Linked DNA regions of Drosophila melanogaster. The protein of the gene in region 1 purifies or fractionates together with the protein of each later gene. This does not show direct contact. Each region holds a gene or a part of one and is shown on either strand. Other genes may lie near its edges. The genes, in order: Drat and Ssadh.

The links.
Region 2: the proteins of Drat (region 1) and Ssadh purify together in Drosophila melanogaster (affinity purification with mass spectrometry, with the first as the bait; one large-scale study listed by BioGRID). This does not show direct contact.

Annotation. Positions count from the first base shown.
Region 1 is NT_033778.4:7,525,710-7,535,091, reverse strand, and holds Drat (death resistor Adh domain containing target), read left to right. Parts: upstream 1-5,801; 5' UTR 5,802-6,014; coding exon 6,015-6,064; intron 6,065-7,115; coding exon 7,116-7,952; intron 7,953-8,019; coding exon 8,020-8,437; 3' UTR 8,438-8,857; downstream 8,858-9,382. Other genes in the region: Cyt-b5 (cytochrome b5), read right to left, coding at 1,362-1,481.
Region 2 is NT_033777.3:25,619,578-25,635,154, forward strand, and holds Ssadh (succinic semialdehyde dehydrogenase), read right to left. Parts: upstream 7,348-15,577; 5' UTR 7,155-7,347; intron 7,087-7,154; 5' UTR 7,061-7,086; coding exon 6,767-7,060; intron 6,591-6,766; coding exon 5,355-6,590; 3' UTR 5,228-5,354; downstream 1-5,227. Other genes in the region: Npl4 (nuclear protein localization 4), read right to left, coding at 2,303-2,463, 2,526-2,724, 2,785-3,313, 3,375-3,532, 3,595-3,828, 3,901-4,002; CG5071 (uncharacterized protein), read left to right, coding at 1-944.

The DNA.
Region 1 (9,382 bases):
TTAATTTGGCACTTATAAGCCAATAAAGTTACAGAAACTTTGATCCTAAGAACTCGAGCGAAGTTACGTTTTGATTGTACCATTATAATAATGTTGAAACTTTGTACTATAGCTTAGAGTCATGCTGAAAAAGCCGCGGAGCAAGTATGATGTAATTATTGTTATTAATTACTATTAAAAGCAAACAAGTTGTTTCGCCTCAATTGTGCTGAGTGATAAGCTAAAGTAATTTTAGCCAAACTCTTCAAGGTGGCCGAGTGCAATTGAATCGATGATAAGCGTATCTCATAATTATTTTCACAATTCTTTAAACTTTTACATAGTCCAACTTAGCCTTATCTAATTTCGATGATTATATTGTAATTACTGTGTTGGTTTATATATGACAAATCGGAACATACATATGCAGGAAACACATTGAATAAGATTCGTCAAAATAAACTGATCATGTTGAATAAATAACGAATAAACACGTAAAAAATAATCTTTAGATCCAGCAAACGCTCTAAAATCTGGAAGTCTAATTTGCGATTTGTCTGGTGATGCTGTTACGCAGATAGCAAGGTAACAGTAGCTAATGTTATTCCTTAAGATGGAAGAGGACCAAGCGGATCAGATTAGGGGCATGTTTTAAACATGGACTGGGGATGGCTGCGGTCGATAGGCGGACTGAAACTTTGGAATGGAATTATAAATTAGATGCTTGGTCACTCTCACTATTGTTATTTTCAGCGTGTACCTAAAGTGCAACGTCATCGTTAGATCGGAATTTTCACAGAGCTTATCTTAGATCCCGCAGATAGCGGGAATGCTTGTGTAGTCTATATGTATAGATTTGGTGATGACCCTACTGCTGCGTCAGGGTGATACACTTTTCGGAGCCGGCGGCAGTCGGTTTGTCGGTGGTGCACTTGCATAAGAATCCGAATTCAAATCGGAGTCCGTTAATCAAATGAGATGCAAATGCAGACGCGGATTTCGCTTAACACTTGACCCTCGTCGCCCATCACACACATATATACATGTATGCAAATGGATAGTTTCGCCATGTGGAGCTCTTTCGACAGCTGGGCGAAAGTGGCTGCTGGAAGTTTCGACGTCGCAGCAAATCTGCGAAATCCGGACGCAGGTCAAACTACCGTCCGGGGGTCAAAGTACAGACCTAATTGCCCCGCGATGCAAGTTAGAGTCGCTACATGTGGCTACGTGGGCTTGGGCTTGTGCTGGGGCTGGGCCCATTAGCTCATCGGGACAAGTGAAACCCAGATAAGGCCCAATAGCAAACGATGACCCCCATTTAGTGGTGGGAGCGGGTGCGGGGCGGTGGCACTCAGCTGCGACGTGTTCCGTGCGATTCTCACCTCGTTGAGGAAGGCGGTGACGTCGTAGATGTTGTTGTGTATGAGCAGCCAGGTGTCCTTGTTCGTGTTGTGCTTGGCGACCTCGGCCCGCGTGAAAGTCTTTGTTTCCTCGCTCGACATGGTGATCACTTGTTGATTTCTACTGCGCGTTTGATTTGTGTCACGGAAAAACTATTTGTCCAGCCTCGCACTCTTCCTCCAGGGCGCACGGTCTCACAGAACTGGTGGCCGGCGGTCACACTGGCGCGCAGCAAGATGGCTTGTTTACACCAACGCCTATCGATATCGAATAGTGACCGTTTAGACTAGCCAGATTGTTTGTGGTATGAGCACATATTTTATTATAATATATAATAGCTTATAACTTATTTATCTAGCTTATAATTTGTTTACAGCACCCAATACACAATATATCGGATTTGGAGCGGTGGTTATGCGATGCGATTGTATAGTGGATCACGGCTATTTTACCATCGACATGTAAAGAATACTGCATACTTTTGGGCGCGATAAGACCAGTGCTCCAAAGCACCTCATTAATTTTGGCGCCCAATTTGAAATGTGAGAAAACCCTTTAGTGAAATAAACGATTCAAATGAAATGTACAAACAAAATTCGTAAGCAAATTTATTTTGGGCAGACCATTTCATTAATAAAAATGTATTTCGAGCGGTATCCCAGCGAACTGGTTCCACCAGCGACGAATGCGCAGACTCGGATCTTGTATTTACACTCAAGCCCTGCCTTTATTCCATACTCGGCAAAGGAGACTTCAAAGTCAAACGTATCCTGCTGTACGCCGTGCGGCTGCGGCGCTCCTTCAATAAAAACAGTCGACACGCATTGTGAAGAGTTTTCCAAAAGCTACAGCGCTGTCCAATAGCGCAATTCAAGTTAACAACAAACTAAGCATAAATATATTGATAAGTGACGGCGGGTGTGCTTTTGATACGCAGCGCTTTTAGCTTTTTTACAAAGGTAAGTTCCTTATTACGCAATTGGCATCCTGGAGTGGCCTACGTGCGGTGGCCATTTTCTTGGGTCCGATTTCCTTTCTCTGGTATACATCCACCACTATGTTTCCTTTTCCGCTTCGCTGATGCGTAATTCAAGTGACGGGATTTATGCGTTAAAAAGTTATTAAGTTTTGCCAACTTCAATCATGCCCTTGGATCCCGATTTACGCGTGTTCTGGAGCCCCGTGGGTAAACAACTCTTATGGGGGACAATCCAAAACTGAGTCGAGTGGCCCGTAAATCATTCAGATTGTTTGTGTCTTCGGGTTATCAGCACCTGGAGATTTGACTGGCCAGTAAACACTTACCAGCCGGGGGATACCTGTGCAAGGTGTTAGGAGAAGCACCCAAGCTCTGGATTTATGTATCCATTGCGGGTTATATGCGATATTCTTGGGGTAGGCGTAATGTGATTGATTACTTGTCAGAATAGTGGAGTATAATGCCAAAATTAGGTGTGGGTTTGGTTTATATATAGATATAGTATACTTATTATAACCCATTTAAACGCAATCGACGATTGTAAATTAGTACCACACACGCACTACTGGAAAACAAGAAAAACAAAGTCGGAAACTCAGATCTTGATTGCGATCGAAGGCATTATTCTCACTCACACAAAGGCTCTAAAAATAGCCCTGTTCCTGCATATTTTTTACACCGAGAGTTCACTTCGGTTGGCCGCCAGCGATTCAATTAAATTTTATGTCTCATTGCTGCATAATTGACGACATTTTCCGTTTCGGGCGGGGAAAAGGTGAGACAGTGGTCAACATTTTCCTGGCGCGACAGCACCACTAAATTTGCATTGCCAATCCGTCATTAGACTCGATTGATTCCGCCATTAAATACAATTGACTAGAATTGACGAACAAATGTTTTCAATTCAAGCGCAACAAAAAAAATGAATAAATAAATAATTCAGTAAATATTTTTCTTGCTCGATGATCTTTTGATCCGTACATCGAATGGGGAGGGGGGGGGGGTGGTATATCTTCGAGGGACGGATTTTAATTGGTCAGAAAAAGAGTTCGTTCAGTCGCTGTTTTTAATTGAACACATACTGTTTTTAATTGTGGCTTTTGCGAATTTCGTTCAACGAATTGTTATGTCACTTTCGCTTTCACCTTCGACCAGATTAAGGTTAAACAACTTAAATATCGCCACGAAGTCTTAATGTTTATAAATGTAAAGTGAAACGATGATAAATCTTATCTTATTCTTTGTTGTGTTTTTGCAAGAAATTTCATTGTTAATGATTTAATATACATATTTGATGTTTGCATATGGCATATGTAAGTTAATAATAAGTAAATGTGTACTTATTCATTGATATAGGGGTTGTTAACACCAATAAGTAACTTGTTTTGACCATTTTGCTGAAGTTCTGCCTAATTATGAAAATAATTCTTCTCAGTGTTTGAGGCTGTTGATTAACCCCAAAAAGTAATACATACATATGTATAAATGTAAATATATACATATATGTATGTACGTACATACATTTTTTGGTAAGGATGCAAATGTGTAAAACGTAACTGCGTAAATGTAAGGCGTATTTATAGCGGCTTATTTACGCATTGTTGTTGTGTGGGCCGTACAAAGAAGAACAACAAAGCAGAGGAAGGATGCCCATTTATGCATTCGTGCTGCGCCAAGGAGCGAGCGAGACAGAGAGACAAATTGAGTGAGGGAGAGAAAAGAAAAACAACGCGCTCCCTCTCTCACTCACTCACTGTCTGGGCATGCCACTCAGGCGTGATTATCATGCAGCGAGCACGTGTACATGACTTTGGTTTTGTTTTGCTTGCCGCTGCCCCCTCACCAACGCCTATCAGTTTCTTCTCAACGTTTCATTACCATGCAAACATCCACCGTTCCTCGCTCCGCAAACACAAGCAACAACAATCGCAAACAGTTAGAGGTGCGCACACACGACATACGTAGATACACAGATGCATACATAGATACAGCAAGCTAACAGTTTGATGCATTGATTGAGATAAAGATACAAAATGAGAGTACCGACAAAAATAATTTTTCTTACCAAAAAGAAGATATGTAACTAGATTTAGCTAAATACCCAGAACCTGAAAAGCTTAGAACATTCGCTTTCATAAAGTAACACTGTAAGTATCTATCTATCTATACACCATGCATATGTAAGTTGTTTGTTTATTTGGCTTTCGAGTGAAGGCCGCACGACGCATTTTAATTGCATATTGCAAGCATTTGATAAATTTCCACTCGAGGCAGACCGCTTCCATTTTTCCATTTTCCACTGGAGTCCAACGCTTTGCTTGCGATTAACTGTTACCACCCGCCGAGAATGATGAGAATCAAATCGTGACGTGACTAATGGGGCATCCTCCTCCGATCTGCCTAGCAGCTTTCTAAGAAGAACATATTGTCATCGAAAGTTCTATAAACGGATCCGATGGCCACTTGGCAACGTGCTCTAGATGGCTTCCGTTCTTGGAGGGGTTTTTGGCCAGCTCCTGGACTTTGTTTTGGCCATAAATCTGTCGCACGCGTTTGCCTAATGCATTTGTTGTTCTTTATTAAATTGTTTTGATTGCTCTGCCTGTGGGCTTGTTTTTCTCTCGACTTCTGCGTCCTCCGTGTTAATTCGAATGTGTAAACAAAAGATAAACAACAATCTGGTTCAAGTACACTGCTACAATATTGGGCAAACTGATATCAACATATGTACATATCAATAGAAGAAGTTCAAAAACCAATTAGAGGAATTTATGAATGTTTATTGAAAATATATGCAAAACATTAAACAAAAGCAATAGAATGTTTATTTTCCAGTGGTGTAAGTAATAGTTGTCTATAAATAAATGTGAAATGCTCCGAAATTCACAAAATATGGAAATGCATTTCTATAGATGCAAATGCGGCCATGCAATCCACACAAATGAATACACTCATTTCAAATGTTTCACGCATTCCCTGCGTGCCGTGTATGTGAGCACACAGTGGCGTGCGGATGGTTTAACCAAGGGGTTAAGGATTACTAAGCTGAGTAAGCAGAGTTTTGGAGTTAAATTTAGCAACTAAGAGTGCTGTTGGAATTTAAACTTAAGTTTACATTTTGCAATCTAATGTAATCAGGGATAAATGAATTTATTTGATGCTTTTTAGTAAAGGTTTAAGAGAGTTTTTCAAAACTGAGATAAAAAGGTTGATAGTATTCCGTGAGTAATCTTTTACCACTATCTTTAAAAACGAAATTTATATGTATGCTTATATGTAAACCCACGAATGGCATACAATATTATTTGTTGGATAGATGAATTTGCGACCCCCTTTGCTGGGCCCCTGTGCGTGATGAGTGCGTGTGTGGCTGTGTGAGAGTTCCACTCGTTCCATTTCGTCACCGGCTTTTTTGCTTTTTAGCTGCCGCATCGAGTGAAGCGGCTCAGATGTTCTTTGGAAGTGCGCTGGTCAAGTCGTCGGAAAAGCGCCGAGAAGCAATTGCAGCTAAAGAAAAATCTAGCCAATTCACAAGTAAAAGTGTTAGTCAGTTTGTATAATAAATACACAACGCAGTTGAGTTGCAGTAGTGCAAAAAAACAAAAAAAAAAAAAAAGTGAAAAAATTAACAGAGAACAATTACGAGGACAGCAAAATGCCGGTCGATATATGCAGTCAACCGCACAATTTGCTCAGTTCAATGAGGTAAACTATTAAACGATGCTGATTGAATTTTCCCCATTCTCCCCAATCGAGTTTTCCAATTACCATGGCCTCTAAAGTGAAAATGCAATATGTATCGGGAAAATATCTTGAGTCTTAGGATTTCTTTTAATTTTTATTAGTTTTTAATAGCGTGTTTAATTTAGAGATTTTACTCACAGTTTTGAGTCATAAATTCTCCCAAAAAAGTACAAATGGGAAAAAATTGTGTAAATTTTAAGTATAAATAATTGTTTTTTGTTTTTTAATAATGTGGCATTTATTGCTAGCTGGTGCACTGAGATAAAAACTGATCCCTTATGGTTTCAATTGAGCACTTCCAGAGTTGAAATCATAGAAAAGTAACGAAAGTGCAAGTGGAGTAAGCTCTGATATGATACGATTCGTCACCATCTCTTATCAAACTAATTGAAGCGCCAGACTTCAGACCAGACTAATATCCGATATTATATCTGATATCTTTATGGCCATGGCTTTCCGGCTTTGCTGTATATTAACCAAATCTAATGTGTCCGATTCTAGCTCTATCTTTTGTCAGTTTATTGATGTGGAGTGATTCGTATCTGGATTGTCAGCAAGTCCAATACTTGACCTTTTAGATGTGTGCTCACTGTAATTACAGCACACAAAAAGTAGCTACATTAATGATATTTACATCGAGAACTCTGAATTGTGGCTGGCATTGAAGATCAAGATAGTCGTTTAGAGTGTTTGTATATAGGAAAGGCGAAATAGAACTGCCATATCATGAGGCGGCATTGAAACTATTGAGAACTACGCAATGCGACCTTGGATATGTAATACGCAATCGAAGCTATAGCAATCAAAAACAATCAGAGATATACATATCTTTAAATATATTTAGCTATCAAATAAAGGGTAATTCTCAAGGGATAATCAATTAAAAATCAGAATATATGTACAAAGATACAAAGATATATTTTCGAAATGAGCAAGCCAAGTTTAGTGACCATTTAATTCTTAATGGCAACACCTCTAAATATGATGTATCCATTCCTTTGTCTGATTGCAGTGGAACAACAGATACCTCGTTGTCGCTGAACTCATTGTCCCTGACTTCCGTTCTGCCGCCAACGGATCCCGATCACCATAATCCACACAGTACACACAGTACGCACAACATGAACAAGCTGTGCCGCCAAGTGTCAATTGAGTCGCCCGGTCCGGGCGCCAAGAACTGCGTCTTCAACTTCTTCGTGCCCATCGAGGACACGCCGGCGTTGGGCGCCCGCATCCGGATCGTTTGCGCCGGAGCCTGCTATCGTCGTCGCGATCGCGCCAACTCCATCACCAGCATGTCCTCAGTGTCCTCGGAGCTGAGCGACTACTGTCCGTCGGTGAACTCGATGTCCTCGCCCGCACACCAGGGCATCCGGGAGGGCTCCTTCTTTCCCGGCTTCGAGGTGGCCGGCGTCATCGAGTCCCTGGGCTCGGAGATCACCGAGGCCAACAACCGTGGCCTGCGCATTGGACAGCGCGTGATCGTCTATCCGTTCGATGAGACCCCAGCCGGCTATGCCGAGCTGCTGGTCGTGCCGGACCTGAAGCACGTGGTGCCCATTCCCGACAGTCTGCCCATGGAGGTGGCCGCCATGCTGCCGACGGGCGCCCTGCTCGCCTGGAATGCCGTCTTCAAGGCTCAGGCCGTTGTCACACAGATTCTCAGCCAGCGGGCTGCCACGGAGCCGAAGCGGAAGCCCAAGATCCTCATCGTGGGCACTGGCGGCCTGGCACTCTGGGCCGTGCGCATCGCCTCCTATCACTTTGCCACAACTGGAGCCGACAACGTGGACATCACAGTGGCCAGTCTGCGGGACGAGGGCTTCCGCCTGGCCACAGAAATCAAAAAGTAAGCATCTTGAGGTCCCTCTGATGTGTCATGCTCTAACCATCTAACATCCTCCTCCTTCCTCCAGTGTCAGCGTGGTCCAGTGGAACGAATGCCTGTACGAGCCGCAGCTGATCGAGCGCACCAAGGACGTGTGCGGCGGAGCCGTGGACGTGGTCATTGACTTTGGCACAACCTCCAGGAGTCTGCACCGCTCGATGCACTGCTTGTCGAAGGGCGGCGTTGTGCTGATCAGCGACGAGGTGGCCGAGAAGCTGCTGCCCAAGTTCTCGCGCCTGTCGGAGCAGTACCAGCAGGAGATCATCGCCATCTCGAACGGCACCGCCGAGCAGCTGGCTGAGCTGGTGGAGCTGGTAGCCAACAAGAAGATCGAGCCGCCGCCGCACTCCGTCTTCCCCTGCGAGCAGGCGGCCGAGGTCATCGCCAAGCTGTGCAACTCCGAGATACCCGGACGCGCCATCCTCCGTTTCCACGACATTGAGTAGGCGTGGAGGAGGATATGGTTCCCCATCAAGGCATTAACTCATTTAATATGGATATCTGTTAGCTGTATTCGGAAGACAACCGACAAAACCGACAAAACAACCTGCAACCTGCGACACTCTCGAAGCGGATTCAGAAATGTGCTTATTTTGTAGCCGGTCATTGTTTTGTAACCTTAATTTTGGACTGCAGACGAACTCCTCGTTTTAATTGATTTAGCGTTTTAGGCATTTTTAGTATTATGTACATATAGATTGTGATTTATTTTATTTGTAAGCCACCACCATGATTCTACTTTTGCAAAGTCACCCATCACATCGCCATATTAGCCGGAGTCAAAATTCGGCGGCTTCTTCAATGATTTTCGATTAAGCAAAAAGCCCAGCAGAAGCGGATTACAAAATAAATGTTATACATACTATACACGAAATTGTTACGCATGCGATGCAAATGTTTGATTCAATTGCTTGATGTTTGTACTCATTACGTACCCAACATTATACTCTACTCTTATTCACAAATAAAAACCATTAACTATCAATCCATGGGGGCTGATCTAGGTTGCAACTGCTTTTCCTGATATTTCTTAGGTGCCTCCGTAGGATGGCCAATTTGGCCTCTATATGCTAATCTTTCTTTAGCATACTGTTCCTTTTTTCAAAAGATATTGTAGGCAATATCATTCGATTACAAAGAGTATATCATCGCTAGCATAAAATTGATGTATAGATATCAAATTAGTTTCAGGACAGACTAGTTTTAGCCGATGAAGCTTAAGGTGCAGCAAATTTTCACTTTAAAAACGTTTTTTTTTTAGTTTCAAATGTAACAGCTATTTTTAAAGGTGAGCAACAAACAGATGTGGCAACCCCATAAGCGCTTCTCTTATGGTTGGCAGCCCAAGCCGGACTGATTGGTGTTGGAAAACGCCGCAGGTGGAATTGCGC
Region 2 (15,577 bases), on another chromosome or scaffold:
CGCGGCGAGCTGTGGTGCCTCCGCATTTCAATAATAGCCTGCGGGAGGTGGAACTTCTGGATTATGTGCAGCAGATCGAACTCGAGCAGTTTCGAACGCTCAGTCAACCTCCGTATGATGGTTCACACGAATCCTCCTCGTCGCCGAACAGCAGCAGCAGTACAAACAGCCAAAGCAATTATATTGCTCTAGACACGGAATATGGACTTCGAGAATTGGTGCGCCAGTTGCAACAGCAGCCGCAGCAAGTGCAACAGGAACAGCAGCAGCAGCAGCAGCAAGTACACCAGCTTACCCACTCAATTTACCAGCCAGATGCGATTCTCGTCAACTCGGTGGAGCCGCAGCTAATTGGTCAACAAAGCCATGATCATCATCGACAGGATGGCGGTACGAGTTCATCGGTAAGCATTGTGCGTCAGCCCATCGTTCACTGTTACCCCATCTACTTTCTGGACATGGAAATAGCAGGAGAACTGGCCGGACGGGTCCTAATCGAGGTGCGATCTGATGCTGCTCCCCGGATGGCGGACAACTTTGGGGCGCTGGTGCGGCACGAGCGGGGCTATGGCTATCGTGGCTGCACTGTCTTTCAGGCCTGGGGAGGCGAGAGCATCATCACCGGCGACTTTGAATCGCAGAACGGACGCGGTGGGCACTCGGCCTTTGAGAGCAGATACTTTTTGCCAGACGAAACGGGATTGCCGGCACATCGGGGAACGGTTGGTATGCGCAGGGGACAGCGGCGACAGGACAGAAGTGGATTTGTGGGCAGCCAATTTCGGCTGGTGCTAAACGAGATGCGATCCTTCACCGCCATTTTCGGATTCATTGTCCAGGGCATTGAGCTGGTGGACCGAATTGCGGCCAGTGGCAATGCTCTAGGACGCCCGGCCCTTAGGAGCATTATCCGGAATTGTGGGGAATATCATTTAAACCAATAATAAGTCCGACTGATCCATTAGCTAATCCTACTTATCGAACAGTATCAAACCGAAAGCTCCTAAACACTTTGAATGTACAACACCACCCAATATCTATTTTATTCTTGGAATGCAAATCTTGGTATAAATTTTGTAAAAATAAACGATCAATGTAAGACACTTGAAACTCGACATTTTCAGCAACAGAAGCCAATTTTTTTAACAAAGAAAGAAAGAATTTTTATAAACAATTTACAACTTATTGAAACGTTTTGGATGCTATTTTAAATAAAAAAAAGACTATCAATGATCTATAAACATTTCAGATTCATGGACAAGGTGGAAATTGTAACAGACCTTGAGTATTTAAATAAGTTTAGCTTAAGGAAAACGACACTAAATGTGCGTTGGAGCGCTACGACGATACCTGGATATAGTAAATTAGCTACAATAAAAACTTAAAAATTTGAAACCACGAGTAAGGTGAAATCCAAATACATAGCTGACATGTAATTAATGTCAATTCAAGTTAATAATTAATATGAAATAAACCTATTAGCAATAAGTAAATAAACGAGATAGTTTTCGGTGTCTAAATATGCATTTGATGTGATCATAACTAAGGCTATGTTTGTGATGGATGAAATAATGAACGCCAAGAATAGCCATCCATAAAAATAAGGGAATCAAGTAATAATATGACCTTAGCGATGTAAAGGAAGGCAAAGAATCTTTTTAGGAACAAATCGAAATCAATTTTACGAAATTTGTAGACTTATTATACTTTAAATTATTTTAAGTAATCAATCAATCAACGATTAACTTCAATTGAAAAGAAAAAAATCAAATCGAAATCTTATATTTTCCAAAATAATAAAAACGCGTATCACAATTAAGCATTAGATAGAACAAAACAGTTTGGCAAAATAAAAATAAATAAAAAAAAATAAGGGTAATAACTGGAAAATTGTGATTGGCTTGGCAGTTGCTCAGAAAGTTATTTTAACAATTGAATATGCGCTAAATAACAACATTGTTTATGAATGTCCTAGGTATAGGAAAAATAAAATGAACGTTTGAAGGAGAACCCAGAGCAATGATGAGAAGTACAAACCGAGAAGGATAAGGAAAATAATGAAGTTGTTCCATAAATAAATCAACGTAATCCAAGATAATGTAAGCCTCTAGATGTCAAATGTTTGAATTGGCGTTGCTCTTGACACCCAAATTTTCTTTGCATGTATCAAACTGAAAAACCAAATCCCATTCGTATTGATGTCTAAATATGGAAGTTGTTTGTGTAAATGTGTGAACGTAATTCAATAAAGGTTGCCCGATAACTGATTTTGCTTGAATGGGGGGGAGACTTTCTAACTTACCTTATAGAAAACGTCGGGAACATACTGCTTGTCCGTGGATTCACGCACGTAGCCCAGCTCGGGCGCATCCTTAGTGGGTATCAGACAATTATCGCGCACCAGAGCCATGCACTGAGCCGAAACCGCATAGCCTTCCATGTGCACTTGTTTGGTTTTATCTCCTGTAATGTTAAAAACTATTTTGGTACTAGTTCATTAAGCAGTATTAAATCGTGAATCTTACCTGTTACACAAATGGTCACAAACTTAGAGCCGAAGACGCCATTGGAGGCATATTTACACGGATTTGGATGTCGATTCTGCAGCTCGCCAGCTGTGATGCACTCCTGGGCCGTAATAAAGTGCGACTCGATGCCACGGATCTGTTTGACAGTGCCGATACTCGCATCGTCCGTGATGAGATCAGTGAAAATCCAACCAATCTATAAATGTCACAAAAGTCAATACTAATGCTACATAGCTACTGTCTATAACTAACTAACCTTCTTCAGTCCCAGCGCACTGGCTACGGCATCCACATCGTCGGCGAACTCATCCGGCTGAATATTGATCGAATCCCTGGTAGACTCTTGTGGCGGCTCATAAATGGCAGCCACCTTGGCCCGAATGCCCAACGGAACATCAGTGTGCTGCTCGTACGTCCCATACAGATATCCCATGCGCTGGTGTCCTGTGGTGCGCCAGTAGTTGAGGAAGCGCTCCACGATCTTAGTGTTCTCGAACATGACGTTGTCCACGTGGCGATATGTCTGACGATTCAGCGTAATGGCCGACGGCTGGCACTTGGAGCAGATGCCCTTGGGCCATGGTGGATGCTCGCGACATCCCGGCTTGATGCGGCAATTGATGTCGTCGAAGACAAAGTACTTGCCCTGATCCATGCCGGATGTCTGCTTTCGTATGTACGAGTGGAAGGACAAGTGCTTGATATTGTGCTCCTTCAGATAGGACTCATCATAGGGCTCCAGTGCGGAGCAGTGAACGCAACGGCCGTTGGCATTGTGGTGGCACCTACAAAAAGTTATAGGTTGATCAGTTTAATTTTACAATTAATTGTATAATCAAGGCCTACAGCTTGCTATCACGTTCGCGCTTAATGGTGCCATCAGCCTTGCTCAGAGCCTGGTCCACGTCATCTTCGATCACATTGAAGGATGGACGAGCGCTGTTTGGATTGCTAATGGTGCTAGTCTTGAACGCCTGACTGTCCAGGACAGTGGTGCTAGTGCGCTGAGAAGTGGTGAAAAATGCAGGTTAGTCCCCGATCGTTCTGCTCTATATGATCAACTTACGCGCGATGATGTGCCAGCCATCTGTTTTAAGTAGACCATGTCGCCATGCCTCAAGGAAGTCCCCACCAGCTGGGAGCCACTTGCCTGCAGCTCTGTGAGGAAGTTGCGCTCCTTGAAGAGACCAAATCCATCCACCTTCAGGGCATTCTGAACGCTGTCGTACAGATGCTTTAGATTTGACTTGGGCGAGATCTCGATGCGTTTGATGCCCTCCGCCGACTGAACGCGAATTAGCTGGAATTAACAAATGAATAACAGATTCTAATTAGTACTAGGACAGGTGAATTTGGCAATTTCTGATCCAACCGATTGTTTACATAACACAAACAGACGATGGCGCACAAAGGCGTAGGCGAAATTGCGCTTCTTGTAGATGAATTGCTCGAGCAGCAGTGGTGCACAGGCCATTTTCTGGACTTTCTGGACGGGTCACTGGGTGATGGGCGGTTGGGTGGGCTCTTGTGTGGGCGGTGGTGGGTGGTAGATTGGGTAAGGGGGATTGTCAAGTGTAGCTATTAGCTACCAAAGCCTGTAGGGCTTTTTGCTTAGTGTTTCGAACTGTACGTCATGAAGGCGCGAACTTGACTGCGGAAATTTATCTGGCATCGCAATTAAAAACAAATGCAATTCGTTGCCAAAATGAGTGCATAGTTAAAAAGAGAACTAATGCCTGTATATGTAAATTCGGATCTGTAATTGTATGAGCTTTAAATAAAAAATAAAACAGCATTTTGAAAGACAAGCTGCATGCAGTTTTAAAACAAAAAAATTATATTAAATTTGTATTTAAAATTTTAAGTTGTGCTATTTACTGGTATGTGCAGTTTTCTTATTTTACAAAACATATATTTCAAAAATTAATTTTACGCAGAGACATTTTTCTGAGTGTAGCACCCTATCAACCAGAAATTGCTTTATTAGACAGAAATATCCTCAAATGCATTTCCCCCAGGCGGATTGCAGCCAACAATTGTTAATAATTTATTTGGTTTTTGGATCGGTTTTTGGTCTCAAAACCCCCGCACACTCCCCTCAGTCCTACTGCCGCCTAGACTGCACTCTTTCAGTGGAAAATCTACAAGTCATGGTACCATTCAATTTCACCGCCAGCACCTTTGGCCGCATTTCGGGACTTGCAGTGGATTTGCACTGCCGGGAGTGCTTCCAAATGGGTTCATTATGCATTATATGCTTCGCTTTTGCCGGCTGAAATGCACTTTAAATATATTTTCCATACATTTAGGCAACAACAACAAACGCCAGCGAACTGGAAAACCGACATTGTTTGCCGGCTTTTTTGGTGGGTAGCTATAGGGAAACACTTGACCAATTTCACTGCACACACTTCACCAATAAGACATTCGCTTAGTTTCCACCCTAAATGCACTTTTTAATTTTTTATCAACAATTTACTTACAATTTTGTCATTTGGCATTGTAATTTTGTCTCTGTCTCTGTCGCACAGCTGTGGGGATGGCGATAGTCTGCCCAGAGGTGGAGAAAAATCGATTACTCCCGGATATCGATGTCTCTATGATCGGTTTCTTGTCAATTTAAAGCGATTGTTAACCAATCCCAATTAATCGAAAGGTGAGGCGGGCTATTTTAAAAAAGGGAAATTATCTATTAGCTTCAGGTAGACTTTGTGCACATTTATTAATATAGCGGCGTGTTATTCTACAATTAGACAACAATAAACCAATCGCATTCTAGTGGAAGACAGCGTATGAAAGCAGTGGGGGTGATCCCTCCATCGGACTTCAGTCGTACTTGAGGTTGCCCATGCAAATGTACTTGATGTCCACATAGTCGTCGATACCGTGTTTGGAACCCTCCCGTCCGACACCGGACTCCTTGACGCCACCAAACGGAGCCTCTGCTGCGGAGATGATGCCTTCGTTGACGCCGACCATGCCAACCTCCAGTCGCTTGGCCACCCGGAACACCTGCTGCAGATTCTCGCTGTAGAAGTAACCGGCCAGGCCTCTCCTGGTGTCGTTTGCCTTCTTTACCGCTTCTTCTTCGTCTCGGAACCGTATGATGGAGACCACTGGACCAAAGACCTCCTCCGAGTAGAGTTGCGCCGAGGGTGGCACATCTGTGACAATTGTGGGTGCGTAGAAAAGGGATCCCTTGTCGGGCAACGGCTGTCCGCCCAGAATAATGTTCGCCTTCTTCGACCTGGCGTCCTCCACAAAGCCACTGACTTTGTTGAACTGCATCTCGTTGATCAGTGGTCCGATTTGCACATCGCAACCCTGACCATCTCCGATCTTCAAAGCTTCCACGCGTTTTTTCAGCTGCCCAACAAACTTATCGTAGACGCTGTCCTGGACAAAGAATCTATTGGCGGAGACGCAGGTCTGTCCGCAATTCCTAAACTTCGAGGCCATGGCGCCATCCACTGCTTTTTCAATGTCCGCCGAATCGAAGACAATGAACGGAGCATTGCCGCCGAGCTCGAGACAAATCCTTTTGATGCCATCAGCAGAGTTCCGGAACAGCAGTTTGCCCACCTCAGTGGAGCCCGTGAAGGATATACCCCTAACATCGGGACTCTTGCAGAAGAGATCGCCAATGGGAGCCGCTTTGTTTGTGGTGACCACATTTATCACACCCTTTGGAATGCCAGCGTCCACTGCCAATTTGGCCACAGCCAGGGCAGTAAGAGGAGTGTCTTCTGAAGGTTTCACCACGACCGTACATCCTGCGGCCAGGGCGGCTCCTGCTTTCCTCGTAATCATAGCCATCGGGAAGTTCCAGGGCGTAATCAGCGCCGCCACCCCAATGGGCTGCTTCATTACTATGATTTCGCGATTGGGCGATGCACTGGGCACAATTTCGCCGTAGATGCGACGGGCCTCCTCTGCAAACCACTCGACGAAGGCGTTTCCGTAGGCCACCTCCCCCTTCGACTCGTTGATCGGCTTGCCCGACTCGGCCGTCATTATCTCGGCTATCTCCTGCGAGTGCTGCTCGATCAGTTTGTGCCACTTCTGCAAGACGAGATTAGATTAGATAAGCAGAAGTAACTTGGAGACCAGAGGAAGAAATAATGACAATGACCTACAGTCGAACTTTCCAACTCTATAGTCCCATCATATTATATGATGGTCTTTATCTGTGGGGTCAACAATCAGCACCCCTGATAACGAGTGATCCCGGCACTCACCTTGAGCAGGTTGGACCGATCCTTGGCGGTCAGGGATCGCCACTCCTTGGACTCGTACGCCTGCTTAGCGGCGTCTATGGCCTTCTGGGCATCCGCCACCGTCATGTTGGGCACTTTGCCGATGACAGCACCATTGGCAGGATTCCGCACCTCGAAGGTCGCCTTTGCATTGCTGGAATCCACCCAGGCGCCATCCACCAGGGCCTTATCCTGCACCAGTGCCGAGAATCCTCGCATTCTGCAGAGGCTTAGGCTGCTTCCTGTTCGTGCGACTCCGCTGAGCTGTCGCCACATTCTGCCGGCTGCTAGAAATAAACAAACTAATTGCAATTAACAATTGGCTACTAATCGATTATTAACCGGTATGTGAGTTCGCTTGCTTTATCACCTTTTTATCACCTGCGGGGGGTTAGAGGCGTTTCTCTTATCTGCGACGTTATCGGGAAGACTCTCTGCTGTCCACAGCTGCAGTTCTAGCTTCTATTGGGCGCTTTGATTGGATTTAATTGATTTTAATTTTTTACGCTCCGAACCAGCAGAGCCTTAGAAACTGCCAACTCGTTTTTTTACTATCAACAGCAGATGTTCGCGCTCTTAGGAGCTGCCAACTGGCAGTCGCGAGTGAACCGCGAAAAATGTACCATTTGAAAAAAAAGAACTGCTTGATAACATTTACTTTTTAATTTACTCGCAGCGGATATTAAAAACATATTTTCAGCTTTTAAAAATATAAAATATTTAATAGAAGTACATCCATAACGCAAAAAATAAGAACCTAAATATCATATATTGATTTGCCATAAATATTTCGCCTGCTGTTATCGAATGACTTCGAGCTATCGATCTTCAGTTATGCAGCAATCACCTTCTGTCAGGCAACTGGGCGGCAGCCGTTTGACTTTCAAAAAGAAAAAGGGAACGACAAAAAAAAGAAAGTCCATTCCAAGTAAACTTCCTGATTCCCATTTTTAGTCGTTGCTTTTCAGCGATTTTAAGGCAGCGCCACTTGTCCCAGCAATCTCCGGACAATCGGTGCCTTTCGCCCGATCTGCCCGATCTTTTTTGCATGCGCCGCCAACGTGGAGCACTGTGCTCCATTTATTATGACTTTGTAGCCAGGCATCACGACCATAGATTTCACATATGCCGGCAGCGGTTCTGTCAGAAGGTGGGTCTCCTAACCCATCCTAAGCACTTAGAAAAATGTGTGCACTTAGGGCTTAAATTTGTAAAAATTAGACCGATATTCAGACAACTATCAGTTCTTTGTAACCACATTTTCCATAAAGTTTTAAGGATAAGCCAGAAAATGTTTTGTATAAATATTATAATACTAATAATTTTCTACATTTTACTTCAAATAGAAGTTAAGCTCCATTCATCTTTTTCTTAATACTCTTTTTGCTAAGTGCCATTTAGCATTAGACAGCGGTAGGTTCTGCCTACTGGGCTACTGGTCATGGAGCTTCCTCCTCCGGCGCCTCACCTGGTTGGGGCTTCCCTTCGCCCAGGAGCCCGCAATCTGTGTTGCAAATTTTGTCAATAAATTTTGGCTAAGAATGCCAAAACAGGCGGCCGCCACACGGACATCATAACTGTTAAGATAAGATTGTCCAGATGGCGATCGCATCCCCGGACCAGAACTGGAGCTACGGAATGAATTCAATTAGTTGTGATTTAAAACTAATTGAAAATGCGTCTAGCTCGGAAGCAATCGTGAATGCTGCCGGCTCCTGTCGATAGGTGTTTAAGTTATTTGTCTTAAGTGCTGCCGGGAGGTGTGTTTCCATGTCCCATTCCAGACTGATCAAGATCAGGATGCACGGAGAGAAATATTTCATATACTCATGAGTTGATATATCACAAAATCAGTATACCTAGTTAGCATAACATACTATTAGAATCCTTAAGAAGAGCTCTTCGGTCCCGTAACCCCTGTATCTTTTATGTTTTAAGAAGATATGTATGCGTATTTTAAAAAGCTAATCATTGAATAATAAGATAAAAGTATCTGCTTATTAGGTGAACATTTTGTCAGTGTTACCTTTTCAGCGAAGGCTCATCAGGAACCCATCTAATGAAGCAGTCAGTCAGTCAGTCAGTTCGTTGGCACTCGAAACCAATCTAATGTCTACTTAACTGCACAATTTTGACAGTTTTAATGCGCTGCCATGGCCGGCGAATTTATGGGGCCCCTGGTTTTTATAGAATGCAAACAATTGACAGCCCAGAAATAGGCAGCCGTGTGCCTTTTGTGCCGGCTAATTGTAATACGAAATCATAACACGCCATAAAAACGACACAAAGCTGGAAAGATGCGATCGCATCGTATCGTATAGTATAGTATAGGGATCATGGTCTTTGGGACCGGTTCTTCTGTGCTGTTTTCTATGTCTTTCGAGGCGGAGGCCCTGTGGAAGCCCAAGACGCCGCCCTGGCAGCTGGTCAATGGGAACAATGATGTGGCATTGGCCATCTCTTTCGTTGCAAAGATGCTCCGTCTCTTTCCATTTCGGTAGGATTCCAATACACTCTCTAACGCGAGGCAGTCGAGCCATAAATCATGTTTGGAAACACGTTCCTTAACGCGAGAATAAGAATAAAACATCTGTTGTTCGGTTGCTGTCGGTTTGGGATCTGATCTGGTTGCCTGGCAGCTTTCTTGCGAGGACAAAGGACTCGCAAGCTTAGGGCGCAAACTGGTTGCCAATTGTCCTGGCAATGTGGCAATGTGGCAAGATGGCACGAAAACAAAACAGCCGCCGAACAGATAAGTGTCGTGATCGACTCATGCAACAGCAGCAGCTGCTCCTCGGAATCAGCCATCCGAGGATGGGTTACAAATTAACCCATTGAGGACACGGAGGGCGGGTAATATAGTTCCCAAGCCAATAGCCAATATGCTATTCGAGAATTTCATTACTTTGTGCTTAGTTATGCACAAGTATCTCTATATGATAACTAATTGATATAGCATTGCTTCTTTATAAAGGAATACTTAATATCATTGGTATCATATATTTATTTGCCTTGGGGTTGGCAATATAAATGGGGCAGAGCTTAAGCTTTTATAGGGTTAATCTTCGAAAATGGCCGCGGCTTGCAGGATAACAGCTTTTCAGATATATGTGGGCTCTGTCGCTCCTGTTTCCTATCCCTCTGGCCGGTTCGGATTCGGATCCTGGTGGAGATCCTGCTGACTCACCTTGGCACGTGTGCTTAACGATCGCATCTGCAGCTGCTGGCAAGTCAAGTCGCAGGGAAATCGAAGAAGGACGCAGAAGGATAGAGACGGAGCTGAAGACGAGGACGAGGTCGGAGCAGCTGCCAAGATTCCTTAATTTCGAATGTCCCATCCTGAACCTGAACGAGGCGTCCTGAATGCGTCAGCAGATTAGCTCTGTCCGGGTGGAAGCAACACGTGTGCGCTTGTGATTGCGATCCCGGCGCAGGATACCCTCTCCTTTCCCCTATAACGAGCCTATTTCTTCCTTCTTTATTTTATTTTTTTTTTTGTGTATAGAAGGTCCCCGCAGCCTGGCTTAATTATTGTTTACCTTCGCATCAAGGTTACGGCATTATGATTATGCCCTACTTGATTATTATTTCATAATTCCGCCGCCCATTGTGTACCTCTCCACTTTCCCCGGCGTGTCCTGGCATGCACTGGAACTCGATCTCGTTGTCCTTGGGCCGCACAAAACGATCCCTTATCCGTATCCATTGTTGTCCTTCGATGTACGAAAATACGCCTGGCCAACCCCAAAGAATTCACACAACCGATCACCCGAATATTAAAGATTCCGAAATCTAGGCGTATCATAATACCCTTCGAAATGAATTGAAAATTGCTTTCCTAACGAGTGCTTTTGTGAAAATATCTTTCTTCCAGGCGCATCAAATTAAATTGTTATGTGAAAGAAAATTTCGAAAATTTCCCAAGTCAAAAAGTTTTTCATTTCCGATAATTTGATTGATTTCGGCGGGATTATGGTATCCTGCAGAGCAGAGGAGTTGAGTGTTATGTTTCAAACTTGTATTTTGCTAGTGTAAATATATGAAGTTTAGATTAATCCATTTGATTTGTAATTTCAAAACAGCATTGTGCAATAATTTATTATCTAAGGGTATTTTAATTACGAACTTCCTTTCGACCATTCATATTTATCTGCGCATAATCCTTCTGTTCGTCCTTCTGTTGTCTCTGGATAGGAAATATTAAATTGCGCATTCCGTTCGCGTCTCCTTCCCCAAAAGTTGGTAAAGTTCAAATTTGGTACATTTATTGCGACTTACTCATTGCGAAACCTGGATCTCCAAAAGTTGGGGTTGATTTTGAACTAGAAAATAAGCACAAATGCACTGCAATTATATTTGGTTCCTTTGGTTCATAACTGTCAAATATAATTGTCAAATGAAGAGAGTATTTACTTATAAACATTTTTAAATACAATTTCTTAACTTACTTATGTTACTTTAAGTTACATATGTACATAATCTACATTATTATCAGAAGAAGGTATTTTTCTTGCAGTGTAAAAGCAAATCAGCGTAGAATGGAAGACCTGAGCTCTTCACCAACTGCTAGGATTGGAAAAACTGTACCGAAAATCGCTTAAAAGCGCGTAAAACCTAGTTTCAAAAGCAATCGAACGAACTACGCATTGGGATTTGATCCTGGCATGAATCATACATACATGTGTGCGCTAGCATTGTTTTGTATAATTTATGCAACCCCAACCCCAACGCACAATGCCAAAGGCAGGGCGGAAATGGGGTGGCTCTGCTGCGCCACCCTCCCCTCCCCCTCCCCTTGCAGCATCTCCATCTATGGGGTAGTTCGATGGCAGGATGGTACACAAGAAAAAAGCGACTATGCTTAAGAAAAGGAAATTCCAAGACCTACAATACATGCATTTTATCACTAAAAAATATGCTATTCTATACATTTCACTTGGAAAACGCTTTACTAAAATACCATGATCTTTTAAAGATCCTTACTTGAGTTTAAGTGCTGAATTTCTTTGAGTGCACGCCTGGTGCTGTTCCTGGTGGATACCAGAAAAGTCTGTTGCGTAGTCCTGGTTCAATTGCGTCGTCGAGGGATTCTCACGCTGGATTTTCCCAGTTTCTGTCCTTGGCCCTGCCCTTATCCGTGTCCTTATTCATGTCCTTGCCCTTGTCCCTGATCCCTGTTGCCTGATGCCTGATGCCCGGTCCGTTTTCTTTGCATTTTTCCACGTTGGCTTGTTGTGTTTTTGATTTGGGTAGGCCTCAGTTGGTTTCGCCTTTGTGGGCATAATTATGCCTCCGTTCTGGAACCACCGCATTGCATTCACATTTAAATCCGGTGCAGTGCAACATTTCTCATTTCTCAGATCGCATTTCCGCTTAATTGTCTGCGATTGTAACTGGCCAAAAAGGATGGGAATAAACATATAATGGAAAGGAAGCGGGATGAGGACGAGATGATCGCGATGATCATTCGAAAAGCTCACGGCAGCTGTTGTCTCTTATTTTCGCCAAGTTTATGCCAATCGCCCGAAACGCATAAACATATCAAATTACGACTATCGAATTTTGTAAAAACCGGAAGTTTTTTCGTCTTTTAAATCGACAAAGACAAAAGCCCACTTCATTGGCGGCATTTTCTTTTCATTATTATTTTAATTTACACGCAAATTCTCATAAATTTCGACAGATCATCTCATGCAACGCCCTTGAGTGGACCAAAAATAAAATAAAGAAATAAAGGATCTCCTCACCGGCGATCTTGAACTTTGCGTACCATTTCGATTTTCGATCGCTTGATTTGCTTTCAAGTCGCTGCAAATACGATTTCTGTTACATTTTTGTCGAGTTTAAGTTGGCATTTGTTTGTATTGAACAAACAGAGGTGATCGCACTGCAAACAAATAAATCAGCACTCGTAAAACAACGGCGATCATTGGAGTTCAGTGGAAGATTGGGTGAGATCTTCTCTGCGAGATGGGGTTAGCTTCACCTCCAGGCGTAGGTGAAGTTCATTGACGCCTCAGTTGGGCTACTTAATCTCCATTGCTAACAGAATCTGTATGTGAAACTAGTCACTCAGATTTTTTATACTTAAAAGACGTTTTATCATCATCTGGCTTATTTGTTGTAATCCTTTTAATAACGTATGTTTAGTGGCCTTGCTAATAAATCCCGCTATTAAGTCAATGTTCCCGCTGATCTGGCGGCTTATCCCCCAGCTGAGAATGCAAATCCATCAAGATTGAATGCTCGAGTGCCTCACTACTGGAAGATTGTGCGCTTAGATCGCTTTGCAGCCATATGTGTGATAATGCCAAATTTGCACACCATCGATCGGATGGATGGGCCAGTTGCCCGAGGAGGGTTATTCGCGCTAACAACTTCATTGCGGACCACGGACAAGATTGCAAATTGCGAGAGATCGATCAAAAATACTTTCACCTTGGCTCAAATGAGTCGTGAAATTCGGTCTTGCGCAAGAATCCTGCAAATGCAATTTGCCACAGAGGGGTTCCAATGTATCGAGATGATCCATCCGTTTTAGTGCTGCTGCCTATTGTCCTTTTTTTGGGCCTAAGCCGCAAGCAAATTTGTTTGCCGCTCGAGATCGATCATTTTTGGGATCGTAAATCACGGCAGGATGTGCAGGACCAGTGTCCTTTTGTCTTTGCCCTGCCATTGTGCTCGAAATGTTGTTTTTCTTTCGGCTTTTATTTCTGCTTTCCTCTACTGTTTGCATTTCGAAATGCAAAATATGAGCAAAAAGGGAAAGGAGGCTGAGACGAAGAAATGCTGACCGATCTTTTGGCGATATGCAAACATCTGCCATTGGCCCTGTTTACTTGCCTTTCGACCACTCCGCACCGCTGAACACAACTGTACCGAGGATTTGGTAGAGATCTTCGTTCGCACTTATTCCTCATCAATTAGCTACGTGATCTACCAGGAATCGGTGTAAGGATCATAGTGGAACCAATCACTCCACACCTGTTATTTAGGACACTATTAGCTACGTGAGCGCGCCTCGCGATCTTCACTCAAGAAAACTCAAGACCACGTAGGATCAAACGTATGCATGCATTTCTACCAGCAGAGCAGCCCGAAAAGGCTTAGGCCAAACCTGTTGGTCCGCCTAATGCCGCACATTAATTCAATAGGCCACGAAGGAGGATCGTGGGTTCGTTCATGCATGTAGATCACCGCAGCGGATCAAAATAAAGATCGAAATGCAGACTGAAAGCCTGAAGTTTGAAAACAGTCGGGTAAAGAGGACCAAAACAGGTACAGGTAGTTCAAATCCTCTGTCTGCGGCTCGTCTACAGGATTAGCGTTAGAAAAAGGATCGATGAATGCGCCAAGGATCTGGCCGCCGATCGCCAAGTGAAGAGGAATCCCTTACAGGCTCGGTCCATTCCAATCCATTCGGGCGGAAGTAACAGCTGCTGCCGCTGATTCTTGGGTCCTGATCACCATCTTTTCGGTCCATGTAAGATGGGTTGGCAATTATCGATGCTGCAGCTGTAAAAATGCCGAAAAACAACAGACCCATAAAGACGGAATCAATGCGAAAGCTTCGCTCCCACACAAAAAGCTTCCTGCGGCTACGATCGTTCCGGTGCACTGCCACAAAAAGTCGAGCATCTTGAAAGTATTCTTTGTTCTCAAAGTACTAAATAGCAACAATTTATGATTCTTCCCCTTTTTTTAAGTACGACAAGACGTATAGCTTATAATGAATGCAGTTTTGGAAATTGTATAATATCTTCTTGCAGTGTGGAAGACTCTCTTCTGGCCCAAAGATGCATCTCTGTGTTTGAGCCTGTTCTTCTTCTTCGACGGCTGTCGTTGTCGCACCTGTCGCACAATTTATTTTTCGCCCAAGATACAAAAAAGCCCAAAAAGCAATGCAATAACCACCGAAAAAATACGAAATAAAAAAAAAACTGGGCAGCAAAAAGCAGTTGCTTGATGTGCAGCGCATATCCGTTTGTCTTTAGCTTCCTTTTGGTAATGACGACAGAGCCGAAAGAAGCAGCTGCCGTTCCAAAAACATGGCCAAGACAACAGCAGCGAAATGGCCTGGTCCTGATCCCCAGATACTCGGATGTATCTGCACTTTGCAGTCTGCAGTCTTCAAAAGACGCAGGCAAAGATGCTTCCCAGCTGAATTGAGCTTGGGCTTGTAATTTGCAATCGTTCACATGCTGTTCTTGTCCGATTTTATTTGCTTTGCTTTATTTTAGATGCTCTTTTGTGGTCATAAAGTTTATCTGCCTCCCTGGACGAAACGCAATGGAAAACGATTGCCAAAAAAAAATAAAAAAATGTGCTGAAAAATCTCCTTCTGTTCGCCGATTTTGGCGAGAAACAAGAATTGGTTCACACAGCCACTTTCGGCAGTTGTAGATCAATGTCACATTTATGTTTTGATTTCAGATTTATAACTTTATTAAAAACATACAAGAGGACCAACATTTATGGCCGTGTTCCCTGACACTTTAAATTACGCATTTCGCTGTTGGCCAGGGACATTTCACAATCACAGGAAATAAAATGAAATGCAAATTATATTAACGATAGCCCATAAAGTGGTTTATTGTTTGGAATAAATTATTTCGAACAACTTAGCTAACACGGTATCTGTGATTTATTTTAGTTTTATTAAAGAAATGCTACTTGTTACTCTGATTTTTAACTTATTTAGCCAATTATACTATTCTGGATATCCCTACCTCTTAACTTATGTACGCAAAATTTTTCATATACCAAACAATGAGGTAATCCGAAAATGGTGAT